2 linked regions of the Drosophila melanogaster genome follow. Changing the gene in region 2 together with the main gene of any one other region gives a genetic interaction. Each region holds a gene or a part of one and is shown on either strand. Other genes may lie near its edges.

Evidence for each region.
Region 1: of Pdcd4 (region 2) and eIF4A, changing one suppresses a phenotype caused by changing the other (phenotypic suppression), as found in Drosophila melanogaster (one study listed by BioGRID).

What each region holds. Positions count from the first base shown.
Region 1 is NT_033779.5:5,980,021-5,986,706, reverse strand, and holds eIF4A (eukaryotic translation initiation factor 4A), read right to left. Parts: upstream 4,944-6,686; 5' UTR 4,874-4,943; coding exon 4,872-4,873; intron 4,345-4,871; exon of another isoform or gene 3,888-4,344; coding exon of another isoform or gene 3,886-3,887; intron 3,698-3,885; coding exon 3,471-3,697; intron 2,697-3,470; coding exon 2,083-2,696; intron 1,989-2,082; coding exon 1,765-1,988; intron 1,682-1,764; coding exon 1,537-1,681; 3' UTR 798-1,536; downstream 1-797. Other genes in the region: ifc (infertile crescent), read right to left, coding at 1-212. UniProt on the Drosophila melanogaster protein: ATP-dependent RNA helicase which is a subunit of the eIF4F complex involved in cap recognition and is required for mRNA binding to ribosome.
Region 2 is NC_004354.4:13,752,250-13,757,343, forward strand, and holds the start of Pdcd4 (programmed cell death 4), read right to left. Parts: upstream 3,158-5,094; 5' UTR 3,004-3,157; exon of another isoform or gene 2,581-3,003; intron 1-2,580. Other genes in the region: CG32625 (uncharacterized protein), read right to left, coding at 4,009-4,266, 4,335-4,511; Rtc1, read left to right, coding at 5,022-5,094.

The sequences.
Region 1 (6,686 bases), on a different chromosome or scaffold from region 2:
ACGATGAGCCACGACCACGACAGGTCCTTCACGACGAACAGCGCCAGGATCTGTGTGAGCACCATTGCGCCGGCCACCCACTTGAAATTCGGGTCGTGGCCAAAGAGCTTCTTGATCTGCGGGTACTTCTCCAGTATGATCTTGCGCCGCGAGGCGTGCGGCTCCTCCGTGTACACCCACTCGAAGTCGGTGCGCGAAACTTTCTGTCCCATCTTGGATGCTTGGACTGGTTGCGGTTATGGGTTATTACGGGTGACGTGCTACAGGTCGGTGTTAGTTGGCCAACATTATCGACCGGCGCGAGGAAGGAAACTGTCCAAACATCCAACTGGGCGGATTGAAAAATTAATATGACCTGACGTGATAGGGCTGCGAGTCGAATCGATAGATTATCGATAGCTTGTTATCAGAATTTCAACCGATAAGTTGATGTGAAGGCTTAACGAAATGCAACTTACCCACTGCGCTTTCGTTTTAAAAGTATATGCAGTGGAGTGGTGTTGAAAGTTTTAAAAAATTAGTTTAACTTTTGGAACTCATCTTGCTTAGAGAGCTGGTTTTAAAGCGAAAGCTTATGAAATTGGCTAAAAAGGTTTGGGTTAATATGAGGTTAACCCAAACCGTACGTAACAGATACATAAAAACTTTTCAAAAACAGCCATTTTCGTTCTACTGTTTTGAGATAAGGAATTTACTTCCGCTTTGTTAAACATAATCTACAATACCACCCAATTGTATATATCCACAGCTATATCAACTCATGCTATACACCCAATAGCGGCAACCATATATTTTTTGGCCATACCCCGAAAGATATATAGCTATATGTTAATACATTTATAGATCTGGGTGGATTCGCTGTGTGTTCGTGTTTAGCGTAAAATGTTGCTTCGGTTGTCAGCTGTTTTTTAGGAGTGGTATATTTAAACATAATGTGTACATATGTATTTTGTTTTGTTTTAATATATTTTTATCAATAGTTCTAGAAAAAGCTAAAACAAAGGTGCGGCAAAAAGGTGTTCTGATATTGTGGCTTTTGCGTTTAGTTCCTCGCTCTTCTTAGCAAGTGGTATCTTGTACCTGGTTTCAGATATTACTTTTTTTAGATAGATGCAAATGTTGTTTTAAGTTTTGTTTTTTTTTTTTTATATATTTGTATATATTTGTTGTTGCTGGTTGACAACGCAGTTTTAAAATTGATGATACACAGAGAACTAAATGGATACAGAGGGGTTCCGGCTAATCGGCAATTGGTGGTGGTGTTGCTGCCGCTTCCGCTGCTGCTGATGTTACTGCTGCTGCGCCGCTGCTGAAGATGTTGCTGCTCTGTCCTGGTTTAGTCCTTTTTTTGGGTGGTCGGTCGGCTGCCTTTTCGAATTAATATTTGAATAATAAATATTTAACTTGACTTGTTGATCTTTGAATAATTTATAGTTGCGCTCGGTTATCGATTTCGCAGTTCTTGTTTGCTGTTTTGCTCACTCACTTTTTGTTTAGAATTCTTTCTTAGTTGTTTTGCGGCTCAGCAGAAAAAATTTAAATCAAATCGGCAATATTAGCAGGCATTTCCTCAATTGTTGTGTGGTAGAACTGTTCAATATCCTTAAGGATTCGTCGATCATCATCTGTAATAAAGTTGATCGCAACACCCTTGCGACCGAAACGACCACCGCGACCAATTCTGAAATAGATTGAAAGTGATGGTATCATGTTTAGTATAGCACATAGCTGAGTAGATTCAGGGGCGAGGTGGTGAGCACTTACCTATGAATGTAGTTCTCGCGGTTCGAGGGCAGATCATAGTTGATGACCAACGACACCTGCTGCACATCAATACCGCGCGCCAGTAAATCAGTGGTAATCAGAACACGAGACGAGCCCGAACGGAATTGTTTCATGATGACCTCGCGATCACGCTGCTCCATGTCGCCGTGCATGGCCGAGACGGTGAAGTTGTGGATAGACATCTCCTGGGTCAGTTGGTCCACCTGAAGAATGGGTAGACATTTTTGTTAGCAACTTATCGGCTTTGCGATTGAAACTAATCCAGCTTCACACAATTATAAGAATGAGTGAATTTACCTTGCGACGGGTGTTGCAGAAGATTACCGACTGGGTGATGGACAGCGTATCGTACAGATCGCAAAGGGTGCCCAGTTTCCAGTTCTCCTGCTTCACGTTGACGTAAAACTGCTTGATACCCTCAAGGGTCAGTTCCTCCTTCTTAACCAGGATGCTGACGGGATCACGCATGAAGCAACGGCTCACTTCGAGCACATCCGGCGGCATGGTGGCGGACAGCAGGATGACCTGCACATCTGGGGGCAGCATCTTGAAGACATCCTGGATCTGATCCTTGAAACCGCGGGACAACATCTCATCGGCCTCATCCAGCACGAACAGCTTGATGTACTGGGTGCGCAGCACCTTGCGGTTGATCATGTCGTAGACGCGGCCAGGAGTGCCCACCACCACATGGCAACCGGATTCCAAGATGCGGGCGTCTTCGCGCACGTTAGTGCCGCCAATGCAGGCGTGCGAGTGCACCTTCATGTACTCGCCGAGCGCCATCACCACGCGCTGGATCTGCGTGGCCAACTCGCGAGTGGGGGCCAGGATCAGCGCCTGGCACTCGCGAATGCTCGTGTCGATTTGCTGAAGGATAGCAATCGAGAAGGTGGCAGTCTTGCCAGTTCCTACGGAGGAGATTAAAGGTAAAATGGTTAGTATGCAGAATAGTGTGTGCTACGGACTATACACAATTACTTTTCTAACTATGTGATATTCTTATGGAAATTCAGCAAAATTCCAATTTTCGACTAACCAGTACGCCATTTGTTATGCAATTCTGTTAGGCGTAAACTTGAATGACGGAAAGATCAATGGAATAAAGACAGTTGTCCATCGTTTCATCAGGTAGCTGATGTGCCATTTCAGGGTCGAGCTGGCCACTAATCCCTGCCTATACATCGATAGGCAGGTGCAAGTGCCAGAACACAAAACAGGAGTTGAGAATGAACTATATTAATATGTATATAGAGCCTCTTTTGCAGAGCCTGCAAAATGGATTAGTGCCGAATGAGCAATGTAGGTAGATCGCATTTGGAACAGATGACCTTAAAAACGCATAGCAGCTGGAATTCGCCAAGAGCGCTCGAAGAGCGACCTTCTTTCTGGGAACTTTCTTCTGGCCTGGCGGCCGAGAAACCGAAACGCAGCTGGTCAGCGAAAAGTGGCGCGCAAGCGCAACGACGCCGACAATCGAAGAGAGCGGACGGAAGAGAGAGAGTATAAGGAGAAGAAAGAGAGTGCTGCAAAGCGGAATTTCAACAAAGAAATACAGGCGCAGCGGCTGAGTCATCGTGCTGTTTTTTCGCCGATTTTGCACATTCTCGAAAGTTTTTCTTTGTGACTGATCGAGGGGGATGATGGTGAAGATGATGATGGGGGACTCGGAGCCATTTACTCACCCGACTGGGCCTGGGCAATGACATCGCGACCCCTCACACAGGGAATGATGGCGCGCTGCTGGATGGCCGACGGCTTCTCGAAACCATAACCGTAGATGCCGCGCAGCAACTCCTCGCGCAAGTTCATGTCATCGAAGTTGTCGTACACCTCGTGCCAGGTGGACTCGATGACGCCCTCGGGTTCCATGCTGGCGGGGCCATCCTGAGGTATCTCATTTCGGTCATCCCTGCAAGAAAGCGAGAATGCGTTAGTGGGGCGGAACAGTGGAAACAACAACAAAAGCAGTAGCGGGACGGGGGTAAAAAATTTTCCAGCCACAATTGTTGGTTATGGCGAATGGCAGAAAAGCGAAAAGTAAGTAAGGCTGGTGGAGGGAGAATCGAAAACCGCGAGCGCCGCTTGGCAACCACTCACATTATCAACAATAAAGAATTGACTAGGTAAACTTATATCCTGAATTTCGACGGCTTGGGCCCGGTTCACTCAATCAACTGTTTGCCTATTTGTCTAGAACGAATAACGGAGAATTCGGGCCGAACGCCGACTGTGTTGTTTTCTCGAGCTATCGAGCGCTTTGCTTTTAGTCCGTTACGTTTGTGCTGCGATGCGCTCTGCGAAGCGGTGACTTTACGTATGAGACCGAAAGCGATAGCTAGGCAGCCTTTTTGAGCGACAAGCGGCGAGAGTCCGCCCCTGAGCGTGTGCGAGCGGGACGACCCTAGTGTCGTTCGTGTCAATGTCAACGGGCGAGAGCAGCCGAGCGATATTAGCACGTAACAGTGGCGCCAGTGTTGCCTAACACCAGTTGCGAATGGTAGTAGTTGATCGAAAATAGCAGTAGTTTTGACAGTACGGCGGGGTGGGGATAGAAAAAAAAAACCGACTGACAGGCAAATATTCCAAAGCAAATCGAAAATTGAGTTGGAGCAAGGCTAAATCAGCCCACGAATGCCGTCGTCCACTAAAGATAGAATCAGCGGTCTGCGTCATTGTCCAGTCATGAGTCAAGCGAACGGACGGACGAGAGTGCATAAAATCCAGTCAAGTGGCGACACCGACGTCACCGGACTTCAACAAAAGTCCCCAGTTCGGAGTTCTAGGTTTCGCCAAGGCGAAGGGGGAGGGGTGCAAAGACCGAGTCCAGCAACAAAACTCTCTTGGAGCAACCACTGCGCTCGCTCTCTCTCGCTCGCATGGTGGCTGCCTCTCACTCCCACTCCCTGCACTGTCATACGGGCGTGTAATTTTTTTCCACTCATTTTGACCGTCAGAAATTTAAAATCGCGTTTTTTGCATTAAAACACGCGGAAATTATGCTAAGCAGTTGCGGAATCGATGCGGCACAAGATCGCCTTGCGGCTTTTTACATTTCAAACGCTTAATCTAGGGTATATACTAACATTTTCTGAAAATTATTTGGCACTTTTTATACACGTGCTGCTACTGATTTGTTAAAACCAAGCAAAAGAGGCTCCATCTTGCAAAAGTTTTAGTGATGTAAGAAAACATTAGCGACTATCGATAGATCGATCGCCAACTATCGCCAGATGTTAGCGGATATCCGGCAATTTCGCTGCGGCTTCGCAGTGTGTATGGTAAAGAAAAACAAAGCATAAAATAATGCAAATATTTTGAATTCAATTTGTATTATTTTGCACTTTTTTACGTTATTTTGGAGGTGCCACTTGAAGTTCAGGGCTGCAGACCCAGAGCTGGGGTGCCTGACTTCGCTATTTTATTTGCTATCGATATTACGCCCATCAAAGTTTTCCACCAGTATAAATATTTAAACCCGAATCTTATATTTGTTTAATAAATTTGATTGTAATATTGTTTTCCAACAGATTACATTCTCTTGTTGTAAAGACTTAATTGTAGTATTCAACCATTTGAACAACAACCTTATGTGAATCATATTATACAAATATATGAAAGTATGGAATTTTACATATGCTGCTATTCAGTGAACTGTTTTTAAATCGTGGGACTGGAACCGGCCAGCTATTTGTCTTAGTAGCTTAACGATCAGTGTTGTTTTGAATCTTTTTGAGTTTAAGTACAGTAATCTTATCTCATAGTACTCGAATGTGGAAGTGAATTTAAACTTTTCATGCCGCTGGTCTAACCGGGACTTACGAAGGCAAATAGCGAATACAATCGATTGCGAGGAATATCGTGATCGAATTTTGGCACACATCGATTGTTTCGAGCGAACAGCGACTTGTGTTCCAGTACTACCGCTTGTCGACGGTCACTCTGAATTTTTACCGCAGCGTGTGAACAGTGTGAGTGCCGTGGGTTTCCTGGAAATCCGTTTAGAAAGAGATTTCTCTAGACTTACTGAACGTGGGGTGGTTCGACAAAAATCGAAAACCGACCAACACTTTGGGTAAATTGCGTACAAAGCGACTTTCGTGCTGGGTGCACGCCTTAAATGGCGAAAACCCACACATGTACGCGCTACTTGGCCAACCGCGTTGGCTGTGCGTCGCCGTCTGCGGGTGTGTGTGTGTGTATGCCTGTGTGTATAAGTGTGCAAAAAATTAAGTGGGAAAAGTTCAGCAGCAGCCGGTCGGTATTCGGCATACGGCATTCGGTACTCGGTATTCCATTCGATTTGTCAAGCAGCCAATGCTAACATATTGCGGGTGCGGTGCAGCGCAGCACATTATGATATGTGAGATGGGATTCGAACATATAGGCGTTGAAATTAAAGGCTATTTTTAATTTATGACAGTTACTCAGTGCCGGCCAACAAAGTGACGATTCATAACACTCACTCGGAGAGCCGCCGTTGAGTCATCGTCTGCTCTCACTCGCTCATTTGCATTGTCCGCAGCCGGCTGATTAATAACGGCCCGCCTCGTACGACCGTCTCGCTCACACACCCACTCCAGGCGCACCGTTGCACTCGCCCTGGCTACGGCTCTCGCTCGCTCACTCTCTGCCCCACTCGAAAGCAGTGGCAGTGGGTGAGTGAACGGGTGACTCACGGCTTGGAATTGAGCGCTTTGGAGCAGAGGCAAGGCAAGCAGCCCCCTGCAGCGCGCACTCTTTCGCCACTCTCTCTCCATCTCTCACTCTCTCGAGTGGGTTTTCTCGAATTCAAAATCGGTTTATGGTTCTGCTTTGCGCTCATTCGACTTTTGAAATCCGCCTCGAACGCTTCGAAAATTCCCAGCGAGTCGGACGTGTGTGTGGAGCTGCGGCGTACG
Region 2 (5,094 bases):
TGGTGTCACTGTTCTTAGGAAACGCCTTCGTTTGTATATTTTACATGTCTCGCCTTAAAGACGGGATGTTAGTCAGCGAAAGTTTTACTTGTTTATTGTGCGCGTCGCGGCTGTGAAAAACATGGAACTAAAATAAATACACATGATGTCTGGCACGTAGCCGACAATGGCCCCTCAGAAACCCCTTCTTTCCAAGTTCAGTTAGGTTTCTTTTTCGGGCTATTCAAATCTAATAGTTTTTGCCTAAATATAGAACAAGCTCTTTGGCATGCCCATAAATTTAATGCTCACAATAATACAAAGTAATTGTAATGACAAGATCAGAAGTCAATATATACTATGTACAAATGACTGGGGTCGCTATTTTACGGATTTTTTTTTGTAAGTGCTAACAATTTTGCAAAAAGTTTCTAGGTTTTCATTTTTAAGATATACCCATAATAATATGTTCAGCTTTCGCGCCATTTTTTTGACCGCATCTGTATATAATAACGGTACTGCGTCTTGGAAATTGCAAATGTTTGTCAATGGGCGTGGGTGTGACAGGGATAGCGATAGGGACATGTATCGAAACTCCCCTATAGACGAAATTCAAGGTCACGCAACAACAACAACACCAAAGCTACTACATAATTTTGTTACCGTTAAAGCTTTGCAACCCCCACAAGCAATATAGCCGTCTCCTTCGCACTAACTCTAAATTGAAAGTTGCTTGTATTTCCATGCCTATGTAATTGCTTTTGGTGTACATAAGTGCCTACATACATACACATGTTTTACTTTTCCAGCTGCTTTTGTTTTCCCTATTTATTTGAAATGTTTTTATGCTGTTTTGCACTTTTAATTTAAATGCTATATAGCACAAACATAAATATGTATAAAATCAAATCAAACAAACCAACACGAATACATAATATGATTTATTTAAATTATGTACATTCGTTTGATAAACTTTTCTGATTAATTATCGCAATTTTCGGTTGTAAAATTGTCGATTTGGCACTCTTCTCATACAATTCTTTCATCCATGTACATATAGATGTCAGCATAATACAAATGAAAACAAAGATAACGTGCAAAAAAGAGCCGCATGTGTTGTTTTTTTTTTTGTGTTTTCATGTGTTGTTTTTGTTTTTTGAGTGCTTTTTATATTGCGCCGCTTGTGCTTTCTCCTCTTCTTTAAACGCGGATTCTTATGTATTTCCCCCTCTGTAATATGGATGTACATACATATACATATGCTGTTACCGGTCTTATGTTTGTTTTGCCCGGTATAACCTTGAAAATTTTGTGCGCCTCACGAATTTCTATGTTTTTATTGCCGTCTCCTTCCGGTCTCTTTCTCATCTGATTCTTCATCTCCTTCTTTCGCACTTGTTGTGCCCCCTTTTTCGGATAACAACAACAACAGAAATAACAAAATGAACGCTTTTCAGCATTTTTTTCGAATCTCTTTTCCACCTTCGCGCTTTTTATTGATGCGTGTCCGAAATTATTTTTTAACCCCGAAATCAGGAAAAGGTTGAGTTTGTAAGAAGTGGAGAGAGAGATAAAGAGGAGCGATGGAAAAGAGCATAAAAATAAAGTGACGCTGTCGAAATTGCGTCGCAAACATTTCGCAAAAAATAAAATACATAAGCAATGTCCAATAAAAAGAACAAGAAAAAGAAGCAGAGACGTTCTCACCATTGAATGCTGTTGTTTGTTTTTTTTAACAGAAGAGATCGAACTATTAGGCGCACATGAATTGCATAAATAGATATAAAAGAAATTAAAAACCAATTTGTGTCACCCACTCTTTTTGAAACTACAGAATAAATTTGATGGTTTTGTTATGCCTTTTATAAACTGAGAACTGTATTTGTTTGGCATCCAGTAACCAGAAAAATTGAAATTTTTTTGTATTTTGCCTGGAATTGTTTGCAAAATTCCCCGTCCAGAACCCTTCTAATAACACATCTCGGGTTTGGAGTCATATTATACTTTAGGTCATATTGCATTTGCATCTGATTTTGTTAAATACTTAAATAATCGTTAATTATGCAGAGTGAATTGTACCACCACTGTGAGCCAGCAATTCTGGTAGATAATATGGGAAAACAAAATCGGATGACATGGAAACATTGGACGGGGCGCCGAATGCAAATAAACCTCGAGACAACGAAAATAAAATCAAAAAGCCTAAGGAACAAGTTTGGCAGGCAGAAAAAAAAACAAACAAATTCACCCCCCATCCAATGTGGGCAGCTGTTTTTTTTTTCGGTTTCGGCTTTCCTCGTTTCAGTTTTTCTCGAATTTTCGGGTGCGTGCGTGTGTGCCGGTTGATTTTATCACGTAGACCAACGTTTTCCAATTGGAGCAAATAACGCGCATCAACAAATTCTTAAATTTCACCTATTTTTATTGAAATCATCTAATATGGCATAATTTTGTGACCGCGACTGTAATTTCGTTTTTGCTTTTATATTCGCATTCGCCGGCAGTTTTTTTCGCTTGCTTCTTTGAATTGGTCTTCGTCAAGATCGATGTTGTTGTTGCTGCTGCTGCTGTTTCTGCGTTTTTTTTTATTTTGCCACTTACCTAAGTGCTTTTTGTTTTGTCTCTCCGGCTGTTTCGCTCGCTCTCTCTACTTCTGTCTTTGATGCTGCTGCTGCAACAAGAACAAAAACTAACGACACGACTGCAACGACGTTGGCCCACTGCAGTTGACGTTGACGGCGGCTGCGCTGCTTTTATACGATGAGGAGCCTGTTTAATAGTTGTTGCTTTTCTTCGTGGGCTCCTTTATTTTTTCCCTGCCTCTCTTTCTCTTCTTATATGCGTGCGGGGGAGAGGGGTTGGCAAGGCAAATGGCAAAAAATGCACTCAAATATCTTGTGTCTCACAGAAAAAAAATACACAAGTGTGTGAGTGTTTACTAAAAGGCTCCTTCACACGCGCATACACACACTCGCACACCCACAACTATTCAGTTGCGTGTGCTGTTTTTTATGCCTTATTCACCTTCGCTTTTGTTGTTTTTGCCGCTTAACGATGTGAACTTTTGATTTCTTTTTCAGTAGGATTGGAACAAAAAGGATTGAAGAACCGCAGAATAAGGAACCAATAACGCACACTGTTGTTCACGCCGTGAAAACTCAACTCGACTGAACCAGAGAGCGACGAGACGTGGGTTTTTATACTTTTTCGGCGAGACCGTGCTGCCAGACTGTTCGATTCTGGTAAGGTGGTGGGTTATAAAAGCGCACTTGGCGAAGCTTCCCCTTAAAACGGGGAAGTTTATTAAAAAGTTTGCAAATATATGTAAATACAAATTCAATCCTATGTAGTAAGCCTGCCTATGAGGAAAACTAAGATAAACGAAACTTATTGAATTTTGATGGCTTCTGGGAATGGTCCAACAGAGTGGCATCTCAGAGAAGTAGTTTTTAAAAGAAAAAGGAAAGAAATGCATACAAGCAAACATATGCATATTTAGTAAAAACAATGAAACATTACTTTATTTACACACTCACTGGATGTATATATATACTCGCCCAATGATCTTACCTTTTTATCAAGATTTAAAAACATTCAATTCAGTAAAATCTTATTTTCCAGGAATTTTTGAACAGGGCGGGCAGCTACATAACCCAAATTGCAGCACATTTCCAATTGGCGGCAGAAAGCGATGCAAAAGAAAACGAAGTAAATATTGAACAGGAATTGCTGTACATTTCCAAGTGGCGGCAGAAAGCAAAAAAAAAAAACAAAATTGCCGCCAATTGTGGCTCTCTTATTTGTAATTTTAATTACCATATGAATATTTATGAAATTATATGTTGAAGATTCCTTGAATTAACTCTTATTAATTTTTAATTTGAATACATTTTTAAATAAACGCTGATCTATGCTAACATAAAACGCTCCTTTTTCGAAATGTATGAAATATGTTTATTTGTATGTATGTTGTATATGTATATGTATGTATTCATATGATGTATGTAAGTAAGTAAGTATGTTCATAGATTAAGGAAAAGTATTCAAATCCATTAATCGCTTGCGTTCCTTTTCGCGGAATGCCCGGCGAGAGGAGCGCGTAGCTCCGTGCAGACGACGAATGATAGGGTTCTTCTCACAGTGGATATTCGGATCATATGTCGAAACCGGCGGGTCGGCATCCCAGTCCTTGGCATCACTTTCCTTGGCATCACAGTCCTTGGCATCTTCTTTTGCGTCGCTGTGGCTCTCCTCGCGTAAGTAGCTCGGGCACTTGATGATATGTTCCTGCAAATGGGATAAACAATTGAATTTAATATTTGCTTACATACATATAATATATATTCATAACCTACATATATATCGGCAATAGGGTACATATGGGTTCTGTTATATGGACAGCGAGCTAATTCGTCCGATGGAAATTTCTTGGCACAAAGCGGCAAATGGTAGGGCATTTTAAACAGCATTACCAAATGCGAGCTAGAGTTGGGACAATTGACATATTCATAAAGTTTTGGATCCGCAGACATTTTTACAACTAGTTTTGTTCGCCTTCTGCGAACTTCCCCTTCGTCAACTTCAAAGTGAGCATAGAATTTCGCAACAACAATTCTATTCAAATCTCCTACAGCGTTTGGTATTTTTAATAGAAGCTTGCAGTATTTTTTTCAAAATGAGCAGAGAATTTCGCAACAACAATTCTATTCAAATCTCCTACAGCGTTTGGTATTTTTAATAGAAGCTTGCAGTATTTTTTTTTCTTAAAATAATAATATAAAAATACAAACGTTCGATTGTTTGCAGTGCTTGTGTAAATTATAAAAATGCATTCTGAAATATATTCATTTGTAAATAATTTATTATGTTATTTACTAAATGCGATAATTCCAACACTTGACAGCCCTAAGGAGCGCTGCCATACTGTGTTCTATATCGATAACCGATAGTCCGGCGATAGACGTTGTTTACCTCTTTTAACGCACGTGCGCCGATCAATTTGCTAAATTCTTTGATTTATTGGTGCGTTTAGAGCCTATAAAATGCCGCCCATTGCCCAGGAGGGCAATTGCCTGATTTACCGCGGCAGCAACTTCCTCAAGCAGCGCCTAATCC